Saccharomyces cerevisiae S288C: one gene and its partner. The gene in region 1 interacts genetically with each later gene. Each region holds a gene or a part of one and is shown on either strand. Other genes may lie near its edges. The genes, in order: ECM5 and SNT2.

Evidence for each region.
Region 2: of ECM5 (region 1) and SNT2, a mutation in one rescues a mutant of the other (synthetic rescue), as found in Saccharomyces cerevisiae (one study listed by BioGRID).

What each region holds. Positions count from the first base shown.
Region 1 is NC_001145.3:609,936-616,643, forward strand, and holds ECM5 (Ecm5p), read left to right. Parts: upstream 1-1,804; coding exon 1,805-6,040; downstream 6,041-6,708. Other genes in the region: DDR48 (DNA damage-responsive protein 48), read left to right, coding at 1-46; PAI3 (Pai3p), read right to left, coding at 224-430; SIP18 (Sip18p), read left to right, coding at 1,081-1,320; YMR175W-A (uncharacterized protein), read left to right, coding at 1,379-1,573; MMT1 (Mmt1p), read left to right, coding at 6,631-6,708. UniProt on the Saccharomyces cerevisiae protein: May be involved in cell wall organization and biogenesis.
Region 2 is NC_001139.9:261,069-267,718, reverse strand, and holds SNT2 (DNA-binding E3 ubiquitin-protein ligase SNT2), read left to right. Parts: upstream 1-1,859; coding exon 1,860-6,071; downstream 6,072-6,650. Other genes in the region: CEG1 (mRNA guanylyltransferase), read right to left, coding at 195-1,574; ITC1 (Itc1p), read right to left, coding at 6,218-6,650. UniProt on the Saccharomyces cerevisiae protein: Transcriptional regulator that, together with ECM5, recruits histone deacetylase RPD3 to a small number of promoters of stress-response genes in response to oxidative stress.

The DNA of each region.
Region 1 (6,708 bases):
TAATAGAGGCGGTCGTAATCAATACGGTGGTGACGACGATTACTAAGTTTTTGGATGTCTTCGATAAAAAAAATATATTATTGTGTTTAGACTTAAGTATGAAAATTTTATGTATGAGCTGTGGCTATGTATCCGCTGGCAAATAGGTCTGCTTTTTCTACACTTTCCACCCTCAACCTAACAGAGCCCGCTGGCACAAATAATCGATAGTAGGACAACAGAGCTACTCCTTCTTATGCCCCGCCCCTTTGAGCTTGTTGTATTGCTCTTGATAGTTGTGTTTTTCACTTTCATCAGCATCGGTAGTCTTGCCGTCCTTGTCTTGACTAGCCATTTTCTTAAAAGCGTCACTCACTACCTTTGCATCGCCCTGCAATTTTTCCTTTGAGCTCTGAAATATTTCGCTCACTTTTTGTTGGTCTGTATTCATTCTGGATGTCTTGGTTGTAGAAATTTCTTTTATTGGTTCATTAAAGTCAAGGTAAATGGCGAGAACTAGAATAGAGTTTTATTCTTTTTACCGTTATATAGATAATTCTAGCCGGGGGCGGTCGCCCCTGAGATTCCCGACATCAGTAAGACATAGTACTGTACGATTACTGTACGATTAATCTATCCACTTCAGATGTTCAACAATTCCTTTTGGCATTACGTATTAATACTTCATAGGATCGGCACCCTCCCTTAAGCCTCCCCTAAATGCTTTCGGTACCCCTTTAAGACAACTATCTCTTAACCTTCTGTATTTACTTGCATGTTACGTTGAGTCTCATTGGAGGTTTGCATCATATGTTTAGGTTTTTTTGGAAACGTGGACGGCTCATAGTGATTGGTAAATGGGAGTTACGAATAAACGTATCTTAAAGGGAGCGGTATGTAAAATGGATAGATGATCATGAATACAGTACGAGGTGTAAAGAATGATGGGACTGAGAGGGCAATTATCATCCCTCAGAATCAACATCACAAACATATATAAAGCTCCCAATTCTGCCCCAAAGTTTTGTCCCTAGGCATTTTTAATCTTTGTATCTGTGCTCTTTACTTTAGTAGAAAGGTATATAAAAAAGTATAGTCAAGATGTCTAACATGATGAATAAGTTCGCTGAAAAATTACAAGGTAACGATGATTCCCATCAGAAGGGAAAGAACGCCAAATCCTCCAACAAGGAAAGGGATGATATGAACATGGACATGGGTATGGGTCATGATCAGTCCGAAGGGGGAATGAAGATGGGCCATGATCAATCTGGAACAAAGATGAACGCTGGCAGAGGAATTGCGAACGATTGGAAGACTTACGAAAACATGAAAAAATAATGTTACGTTTTTTTGGGCGCAATTAACCAAGTCCTTTTATTTTTTTAATGGTTTATTTATGAATTGTTTATGTTTATGTTCTTTATACTCAAAATCAATAAGTGCTTATTTTAGCGAATTTTCTTCTACGAATATATATAAGTCATATCTAAGACTTCCATCCGTGCTTTATTACGTTTGTATGATGCATACAATGATGCCAAATCAGCTTGATGCTGTTGGTATTCAGTCGTCCGAAAGCCTGTTGATGTGACACTCAAATCTTCGGCATGTGTGAACGGTGGCCGAGCATAGTTCGTGAACATCATCACTTAAAATAAGAACTACACTTTACATCAGCGTGGAAGATAAAGGTTGTTTTAAGCTCAAGGGCGCTGGAGGTGTAGCGCTTCGGAGGAAAATAATATTGAATAACTTCGCTTTTTGTTCCAAATTCTAGATTATCGTGTATGTTCTTGTTCGTACGTCCATCTCCATAGTTATAATGAGTGGGCATGATTCTGTTACAAAAATATCTCATATCCTGAATGAACCGGTTAACGAAAAGGTAATGGTACAAAACGGGTTCCATGAAAGCTCTAAAATTGCAGACATCGAATTAGAGATACAGGAGCGACCTTCGATTAAACAATGGGAATCGCCGCGGAGTGCTGTAATTCCTACTTCAAATCATAATTTTAGCCCATTTCTCTATACGCAATTTAAATCTCGTGGTGCAGCACCGTTTGCACCTGAAACAATAAAATCTGTAGATTTAGTTGAGCTACCGGAGGGTGTACCCGCAAGAGTGTTTCATGAAAAGACGGGTTTATTTTATCAAATATCTCCACACTCTATTCCAACATTTATTTTAGCCAAAAAAGAACTCCCGGACCCCATAAAATTTTATGAGTTAGTGGAAGACTTAGGGTCAGTTTATGGATGTGTTAAGTTGAAAATTATACCAGATGCTGACAAATTTACTCAACTAAATGTTGATGTAGATCGCCTCTGGTTTAAAGCAAGAAAACAATTTTTCAATTCGAATGAATTTCAAAGAACCAAGATAGTTGATTTTTATGCGAAGTTGTATAATTTTCACAATAAAATCAAAAAGAGTACTCTCACAAGGATCCCAAGTATCGATAAACGCACCTTGGATTTATATAGACTGAGGAGTTGTGTGAAGTTGAGGGGAGGCTTCAATGCTGTTTGCGAAAAAAAATTATGGGCGCAAATTGGAAGAGAATTAGGTTACTCGGGCAGGATTATGAGTTCGTTATCAACTTCTTTAAGATCTGCCTATGCAAAAATTTTATTAGACTTTGACATATATGAAGAAGAAGAGCAAGCTGCTCGTAATAACGAAAAAAATGAAGACATGGTGGAATCTGAAATATTTCGTCACTCAAATAGCAGAAGTAGGGACGAAGAGGAGCCACTTCATAAAAAAGCTAAAATACACCGCGATGTCTTTAGAGCCGGATCGATTAATCATGAATTTAAAAGAATGCGGGACATAAAGCACATAAAAGGGTTTCCGACTTATTTTAACTCGTTAACTGAGTTTAAACTAGGCTATACACAGTCAACAGAGACCACATTACCGGGCTATGATTTTACTTTTTGGGAGAATGGTATGGAAATATACGATAAAAGCAAATACGAAACCAAAACCTCTCCAGTATACAATTTGAGACAGTATTACGAAAAAAGTCTGGCTGTTTTCACTGCTATTGTAGCGAAATTTGGGAGTAGCTATCCTGATTTGTTTGCGAAACACACAACATTACCTCAAAAGGAATTCGAGAGGTTATACTTTCATTTGCTATCGGAGCACTTTATAGATTTCGAAATTGACACCGGTCTTGGACTACCCTGTTCCATGAGATCACCAGGAAACAACTCGTCCAATGAAAAGTTTGCCATTAAGAATATTCTAGACCAGTGGAATTTAGACAACATTCCTCTCAATGAACTATCGCTTTTACAACACCTTGATCTGGATATGGCCAATTTTACGAGAACCACTTATGATATTGGAATGTTGTTTTCTTGTCAAGGTTGGTCTGTTTCGGATCATTTTTTACCTTCAATTGATTTCAATCATTTAGGTTCTACCAAGTTGGTGTACAGTATTGCGCCGAAAGATATGGAAAAATTCGAAGCTTTAATTGCTCGAGGAAAAAGTGAATGGGATACTATCCAATCAAGGCCGCGCTACTCCACCTCCGATGACGAATTAAAGAGCTTTATAGAAACAGATTTCTACAAGTCATTTTTGGATGCAGAACAATCTGCTGACTATTCAAACACTGGAGATAATTCAAAAAATTCATTTCCAGAAGATAAGATAGCAGGAAACACTCTACATGATGGTTCACAAAGCGACTTCATATTTGAGCCTAATTTCATCTTAGCCAATGGCATAAAACTTTATAAGACGACACAGGAGCAGGGCTCATACATTTTTAAGTTTCCGAAAGCCTTCACATGTTCTATTGGATCAGGTTTCTATCTATCACAGAATGCAAAATTTGCGCCAAGCTCCTGGTTGAGATTCAGTTCCGAGGCAGCAAAATGGACATCTAAGATGGGGTTTCTTCCCGGTTTAGATGTAAATCAATTACTTATCAATGCCCTACTAAACTCCAATAACCCAGTTTTAAGGAAAAAATGCCGTGATTTAATAAGTAACTACGTCGTTGAGGAAGCGGAAAACAGCAAAAAATTAGGGGAGTTGATTGGCACTGTAGATGTCGTTTATAATAAATTGAATTATATTTCAGATATTAGTTTAGAGTCAACTGGTCTTTCAAAAATCGTTGTTACACACGGTGCATTGCAACGTAATTTATCTCTGAAGGAATTCGTGGTATTGCTAGAAAAACCAGAAAACGGTGCTCATAGTATATGTGGCATCCCAATACGTGATCAATCTGGTAATCTCAATGTTTGTTTGCACTCATACTTTGATAGCGCAAGCCTAGGAATTGCTCTCGATGGCTTGGACAAGCCTCCGACTTCTTATCTGCTTGTTCACAATGAAGATTTTGAAAAAAAGTGGGACGTGTTAATGACTTCTACTTTTAGAAATAGAACTGTGCCATTAAATATAATACAGTATTTGATCTCTCATACTGATAGTAATACTGAGTTTAATCGAATGTTACGCTCCAATTTTGATGATTCATTACTACTTATTGAGAAATGTAAAAAGTTTATTAAGACCTTCGTGGATGTTTCCTGTTCTGTTAAAGATGTAGATTTCGGAAACGGTTTCAATTTACGTCATCTACCGCTTAAGTTTTCTGACAACATGGCTGATAATTTGGAGAGCTTGTATGAAAGTGTGCGGAAGTGCTCAATTGAATTTTCAGAAAAGCCGACAATTATCAGACTGTATCACGTATCTCGGCAGTTTCCTATCGATAATAGAGATATTATTGATGGCAATAATCTAGATTTGCTTAAGGAATTATATCAGAAATCGTTAACCATCCCGTTGAAGGTTTCTTATTGGACTAAGTTGACCAGAAAAATATGTAGGCTTGAATGGTTATCCGTTTATGAACATATATTCATTGAGCGATGTGATATTAAGAATGAAGACCCTGCGAAATATTCACTTCCACTGTTATATTCTTACTTCGAATTTGGTTTGAAATATTGTGATTCGGAAGATATAGATAAGTTAGGGGAAGTGAGAAAGCTGATTTTAAAATATCAGGACATGATGCAGAAAGTTCGAGTTTTTCTAAAAAAGGATCCACCCTCAAAAATATCGCTAAGTGATTTAGAAGACGTTTTATTAGATATAGAAGAATATCGGTTACCCATACAAAGTAGTTTTTTCAGTGAGCTTGATTATGTTATTAGAGAAATTGAAAATGCAAAAAAAATGAACGATGTGAATATTCTTTATAACACTGATAATATTGATAAAATAGACGAACTCATCAGGAAAAATGATCCTAAATTTGTGAAGTTTGCGAACCAGTTTAATGGTTCGAGATTAGATAAGAGACCGCTGGCCAGTGATAATTCAGGATCAGTGAAAGCCAAACAGGAGTTAAAAGTTTTCAAATTATGGAACCAGCACTTGGATCAAATAATGCAAAAAAATAAATTTATTGAGATACTGCCGTCGATTTTTAGATGTTTAGATTTGAAGTCAGACAAATACATTCCTTTGGAAAGTTGTTCTAAGCGCCAAACGAAATATTGCTTTTGTAGAAGGGTTGAAGAAGGTACTGCAATGGTCGAATGTGAAATATGCAAGGAGTGGTATCATGTGGATTGTATTAGCAACGGTGAGTTGGTTCCACCTGATGATCCAAACGTTTTATTTGTTTGCTCGATATGTACACCACCCTGTATGGCCGTTGACAATATCGAAGGTGTGACTTTTGAGCTTGACGACTTGAAGAGGATCTTAGTAGAATCTTTGAAGCTAAGTTTAATTCCAGATCCCCCTATCTTGAAGAATCTCTTTGACGTTTTTGCGTTTGCTTTGAACTTCAAAAATGAAATGGAAAAAGAACTATTTACTAACGGTTATGTAAATCAATTGTCCTCTACGCACAAGATCAAGTATTACTTGAGAAAGTTAAAAGGGTCACAATGCGGCTTTACTAATCTGACGGATCCCTTAAGGAAACATTGTCAGGTGAAAGATGCAGAAGCAATTAAATGGCTCACAGATAATGGAAGAATCATAATCACAGGAATTCCAAATTGAAACGTAATACTATCTTATTGATTAAAATCACTATTTACTTATCTAAAATGTACCTGCGAAGTCTGCATGACATATTCTCTCTTCTTTTATTGCGCATACCTCGTTTACTCATACTCAGATGTTCTACGACGTTTTCTATGGTTGGCAGTAGTTACCTATTGTTGACACTCCAGTATTGGGTGTTTCCCATCCAGCATAATCCCGGTAAAAAAAGACACCCCAGAATCTAGGAGAGCTCCTTTCGAAGGTGGAAAAGCGCGTTTTGCTGTCAATATTGATGTTTATTAGTAAGTGTTTACCGTTTCTTGATAGCTTTCCTTACGTAACAATTGTTCTTCTGCTTTCCTTCGTAGGAGGAACGCGCCAAGGCAATTTTTCTCGAGAGGTATGAAAAAAATAAAAAAAGCTCATTTCCATGACAACTTCAAGTAATTGACCATCTATAGGAACCCTAAGACTTTTGGCAACTTCGACTTAGAGCTCTTTTTTGTGGTTTTGTTCATTTACGCTAAATAACTGAGAGTTTAAATTTATTGATTTATATATTATTGCATCACACAAACATCGCTTTCTTTTTCGCATTTTTGACAATGTTAAGAATCTGCGTAAAAAGGCCCTGTATAAAGATCGTTCTTTCACAAGTACGTCCAGCATTACTAGTAAGGAAG
Region 2 (6,650 bases), on another chromosome or scaffold:
CATGCGCATATATATACATGTATATGCGTATATAACACTTTCACCCTCGCTTCTCAAAATTCTCCCATTTCTCATGTACATATAAATAGATAACTAACTGAATTAATTTAGCAAAAGCAATTGCTTTTGCTTTTCTATCTTATTCATACACAAAATTCTTACACCGATATATGTCGATACGAACACTTCTTAGCCTAATCCGACCAATCATCCTCGTCTACATATTTTGGCTCCTTATCATTACTTGGGGGCTGTGAATGGACTGGCTTAGAGGTAGATAATGTCGCATTTTGACTTTGAGACGGTAGTGGTCTCCCACTACCACCAGCCATATTTGCTCTTCTCTCGTCCCAGCACCTTTTAATATCACCAACAATTTCCTCGAGGTCCTCCAATGAAACTGAATCGTTGATACTCTCCAAAACTTTCTGGACCACCGATGTATGATTACCATTTAACTTATCATCCCTGAATCTTAACATTTCCCACGCCCCAGTCTCTTGGTTTTTTGCGCACTCTACTATTCTACCATTTAATGGCTGTTCTAGGTTCTTCAAATTTTGCCATTCCTCATCTGAAACGCTCAACTCTGCAAATTTTCTGTATGTTCTTTCTAATATTTCAAATTCCTTCCTATCGAAAGGCTGGTCGAAATGTTTTAAACGTGAATTGACATCAGCTCCGCCTTGCCAGACATATAAGCTGAAAACTGGCTTAACGTCATAATTGTAATACCACCTGTTCCGATCATCTTTAGGCAAAGAAGGATCCTCCACCATTGGGATATCTAAAATCAATTTGAAGTCCACGGTGTTTTCTTGTTCTGGCTTCCATTTTAATAACAATGAATCTTTTCCGCCGGCAGTGTAAGGTGCCTTCACAGGAGTAAATATCAGACCATCAGAAAGATGTGGTAGTTTATCTAAACTTTTAGCAACTTTTACTAATTGGTAACTGAAATCCATATGTTTCATGGAAATTTTGAACGGAAAAGTAGTACAACGATTAGGGTACGCTGCTCTTAAATCGAAGTATGGTTTAAAAAATTCTTTTCCAAGGTGGGCTAGTCTAGAACTTGTTGGTGATTGTGTGAGACATCTACCATTGATAGCAAGACAATCGAACATTAAATAACGCAACTCTTGTAATTTTGTCATTGGGTTAGTTTGTATGACAAGTTCACCATCTAATAAGGTGCCATCTTGAAGAGTCTCTAGCAGCTCTTCTTTCTTCTTTTGGGGTAATCTGGGAAACCTAAATCCATTAACCAGATAATAGTTATTTTCCCTATCAATCATAAAGCATCCTTGCTCACCCGTCACAGGATTTATCACTATAAACATCAACACCCGCAGACCATCTGTTTTCTCACAAACGTAGTAATCATGCGCAAGCAGCTTCTCTTCCACATCAGAATGCTGAAAGGACACAGGCTGGGAACCAGGGAATGTTTTCGTAGGTTTTGGGGAATTCAATAATTTACAGACCATCATCTTCAAGTCTTGCGTGACATTCCCAGGTTGAATGAGCCCAGGAATTTCCGGTGCCACTCTACTTTCCATTGCTAAAACCATATTTGTTAAATTAGCGGTCGATTCGTATTTGCTTATTCCGTTAGTTAGCTTTAGTTTAGATATAACAGATCGTATTCCACCATTTCTTTCGTTATTTTCTGCAATGAACTATTTATTATACTAGGTTACGCTTCGGAGCGACTGACCCGAACATCATGGAGAACTATATATATTTTATGATATTGCTTTCAAAAGGACTAAAAATAAAATGCCATCGAACTATCTGGTGGCAAAATTGGCCTATCGGGACATATTGAGATCATCTGCCTTTCAGCTGGTCACGCTATGCCTAAAGAAGAAGATTTCCAATTACCTAGAAGAAGAGAGGCTGCTAAAAACGTGAATTATAATGAAATGGAAATAGATACTAAATTAGTTCAACAAATACAAATAGCGGAAAAAAGTGGTGCTAAGACCAAGGGTAGCAATAGCCAAACTCCCAGGAATTGTAAAAGGACAAGCAATCCAGCTAGTAGAAACGAGAAATTCAAGTACCAAAAATTCCTTCATGATAAGAATACTTGCTGGAACTTTATCCCTACATTACCCCCTTCGTTCAGAAAGAATAGCAGATTCTCTAACATACTTGATCTAGATGATGCCATGATTGACTTGAAAAAGATGTCTCTTTTCAATACAGAATCTGTCCTTTTATCTGCGAACGACACTATTTATATGATATCAGAGCCTGCTGGCGAGCCTTATTATGTTGGCAGAGTTGTAAATTTTGTTAGTAAACCAGAATTTTCTAACACTATTCATGAAGCTATAAAGACAACATCGGTCTTCCCTGCTAAATTTTTTCAAGTTAGAATGAATTGGTTTTATCGTCCTAGGGATATTCAAGAGCACGTAAATACTTTTAACCCAAGGTTGGTGTATGCATCATTACACCAGGACATATGTCCTATTTCATCATACAGGGGAAAATGTAGTATATTTCATAAAGACGAAGTTTTTGATGTTCTTCCTAATGAGAAGGAATGCATTATACGACCCAATATCTTTTACTTTGATGAACTTTTTGACAGATATACTTTGAAATATTACAAAGTTTACAGCACGGATAAAATATTAAATAAATGGAACAGTAAGTCGCCATTTCTTTATGTTTTGAATAGGAGATTTCGTTATATCTATACAGAACCGAAGTATCCATTGGAGAACGTTTTGAAGAAATACGTTTTCCATGAACTAGAGGTAAACGAATTAAGTCCTGCAGACTACCAATGGGATAAAAGATGTCAGTTCTGTAAAGAATGGTGTATCCAAAAGGAGAGCCTTTCATGTGATGAATGCGGCGTTTGTGCACATCTATACTGTATGGATCCGCCACTTGACAGGAAGCCGAACAAAGACGTCGTTTGGACCTGCTTCAGTTGCTTACAGAAACAACAAGGTACTAAGGACTCGCATGTTAGGTTTCTAGAAGAACAAGCACTGGAACTGGATTTTATTCGCTCTGTAAGACAAAAAATTGAAGAAATTTCTAGCAAAGCTATCAAAGAGAATGTTGGTTATAATACCGAAAATTGCTGGTTTCAATACTTAGGAATATATTCCATTTCTCATATTGGTGACGCATTAAATGATTCTATGTTTTTTCCATATCCTTTCAAACCCTCTAGGGTAGGAGTGAAGTATCAATGGAACGGATGTAATCATAATGTGCCCTGGAGGCGGAACTCGTATATAAGTGCAAATTCAGAAGAAGAGCGAGGCTCAACGAAAACTTCGGAACTAGCATGGGTACTTGATGCATCAAAAATTACTACTCGAAAATTGAGTGAATATATTGAACAATGCAAAAGCGAAATATGCCCTATTCTCAATGTGAGAGGTGAGACTTGTAATTTCATTGATGTAGTCCTAAAGAATTTATTATTTACAAATTATGATACAGCAGAGGCATTTAAAAAATGTAAAAGGGAGCTTTCCAGAAAATTTTTGAAAGAGCCAAGTTTTACCGCCGTGGAGATCCGAAAGTTTGAGGAAGCTGTCGAGAAATTTGGGAGTGAATTACGCCCAGTGTGTGAGTATGTGGGCACTCAACCTATGTCGATGATTGTTAGATTTTATTACAATTGGAAAAAGACTGAAAGAGGCCTTACCGTGAGAGGGAAATTGAGTAAGTTATCAAAGAATAAAAGAAAAAAAGAAATCGCTAATCATGAAAATGACGTAGAGACAAAGTATATAGATGATTCTTCTTTTGATACTGAGAAACTCTCTTTAGCAGAATCCTCCTTCCAATGCATGTTTTGTAAAACAGATTACTCCCCGATGTGGTATAGAGTTACTGGAGGTTCAGATGATGAAAAGATCAAGATAAGAATGCAGACAGGAGTCAACGAAAAAACAGAAATTTCAGAGAAATCGCCTGCCCATAGCAAAAAGAATGAAAAACTTGGCGCTCTTTGCATTCGTTGTGCTCGTATGTGGCGAAGATACGCAATTAAGTGGGTACCACCGCTTGAAACATTGAGAAAAATAACGGGAACCTGTCAGAATAGTTTTTATTCAGCGATAGAAGGGATTATAGAGGAGAATAACACAAACAAGTTTACGTTATCTCCCTTTCAAGCTCATAATAAACTACTAGAATGGGAACTTGTTCAGGATTCAGAGCTAATTATCAGGCAAAGAATGAAAGTTTACAAGAACCCAAATTCATTTGTGAAAATGAAGCGGTATTCCATGACATTCCACACGCAACTCTACAAAATGGCTGTGAGATCATATCGAAAGAATGAGTTTCACCCGGAGACGATGCAACGAGATCTTGAGCTATTTATAGAGGACAACAAAGAGGTAAGAAAAGCCATCCCTGAACAAAAGCCAGAAAGAGCGAAAAACACAAAGGACGAATTTCCCGTGAACATAATTCGACAATCACCTGGTACTATCAAAACAAGTGATACAAGCCGAAATCGCAAGTGCAACGATGTATTTATCGAGAAGGCTAGTAATAACAATATTCCTAAAATCACTAATGCTTCGAATGATTTGATAGAAATTTCAATTAAAACAGGCGGCAGTTCTTCTGGTTCAGTGTCTGTAGATAAAGGTTTTAAATTTGTCAAATTTGATAACAAAACATTTCAGCGATTACGGAATAGCTTAAAGTTAGTGAATAATAAGCTGCCAAAATATAATGAACCTTCAACGAAGAAGATCAAAATGATCAATGACATAGCGTTAAGTAATCCGTTAAACGAACCAAACGGGGCATCGTACAATTATACAGTTATTTCACATTCTAAGGAAACTTCTGTCGCCCTTGAAAAATACCATGATGGTAATAAACCGAGCAAAATGTTAGAGAAAGACATGATTTTGAAACACACTAAGAATAAACCAAAAAATCCTGATACAGCATGGGCAAATAATAGCGCAAGGACTTTTTGTAGTGTCTGCAAAGAAAAATTTAACGACAATGACAACTATGAGGTAGTATGTGGTAATTGTGGACTTACAGTACACTACTTCTGTTATGCTATTAAACTGCCGAAAGATATGAAGAAAAACACTAACCTTAAGACATTTAAATGGTTATGTGACCCTTGTTCAAATGACCTCAATCCTATAATATCAACGACCTACCAATGTAGTATGTGTCCTACGAAGGACTATGACTATGATAGATATAGGAGCCAATCATTTAAAATATGTCCAGACGCATTGAAATGCACGAGCTTAGGGACATGGGTGCATTTGGTTTGCTCACTTTTCAATGAAGATATCAAATATGGAAACGGACAATCAATGCAACCTGCCCTTAATACCACTGCTGTGCTTATTAAACATAGTAGATTTACATGTGGTGTGTGCAGGATAAATGGAGGTGGGTTAGTGAAGTGTAACAAATGCCAATATAGGTATCATATTACATGTGCACAGAACAGCTCCAATTTTAAGCTTATGTTTGAAAAGAAAAATATGTCTGTAGACACCACTCTACCGTGCATAAAGGATGTCAAGCTTAACGATACATACACTTTGAGACCTATACTAATATGCGATAGACACGATATCAGCTTAGAAGGAAACGAACTTTATCCATTATCGTACAAGCCTCAACATACTCTGTCATACATAGAACAATACTGCAGATATTATAAGTGCGAATCTGACCATAGTCTAGTGGAGTTGAGATATTTTGAACAGCTTAGACTGCGACACGGCGAAATGCCAGGAAACTCACACGACTCTGCTATTAAACCCAAAATTTACGTACTTCCTTTCGAAAGGACTTGCCCACATTGTGGTACAAACAAAAGTTTATACTGGTATGAAGATATTATTTGCCATTCTTGCAATTTGAGATCAGGTGCCCAAGAACTCGATTTTGATAGCGCATCTGCTAATATCTCTAACGATAACGGTTTACCAGTCGAAATTACCCAGCAATTGATGGAAGGAATTGAGCCAGCTATGTTTGATATCGATATTTCAGAAGCTGGTACCGACAAAAATACGCATCCATCAAGCCAGTAAGTGATAGTTACCTTAGATAGAAAGTATGGTCCAATCTTGCGCGGCTTTGTTGTGTTATTTTTTTCCATTATGCTTACAATGAATAATCTTATCCTATTTATGAATACTACAATTTACCATCAGTTACAAAGGAAGTTTTTTATATATTAATTTGGGGCAGGTGTTACTGTTCTTGAGGTTTGGCCCACTATATCTTTTAATTTATCGTCTACTGTTTCAATGACACCACTCCTTTTATTACCAGATGCATTTTTGCGAAGTGAGGAACCCCATATCGAATTTGCTAAAACGTTTTTCCAAGCTATCACATCTTCCATAGCTTTAAAATGTCTATAATTGACTAAGTCAGTCAATATTTCAATCTGCTTATTCACCTTATTACCACGGGAGATTTTGGTTCTTTTCCTTTCTGAACGGGCTAAAATCCTCGCGCCTGGCCTCTGCGAATTTATTATGGATTTTTTCTGTTCCAAGAGTTCATCTCTCTGATCTTCTAATTCTTGTATTCTATTAAGAACATTGCGTGTTTTCGAGCTATCATCTAGCTTCATGAGTTCGTCTGCAATCACCTCCAACTTT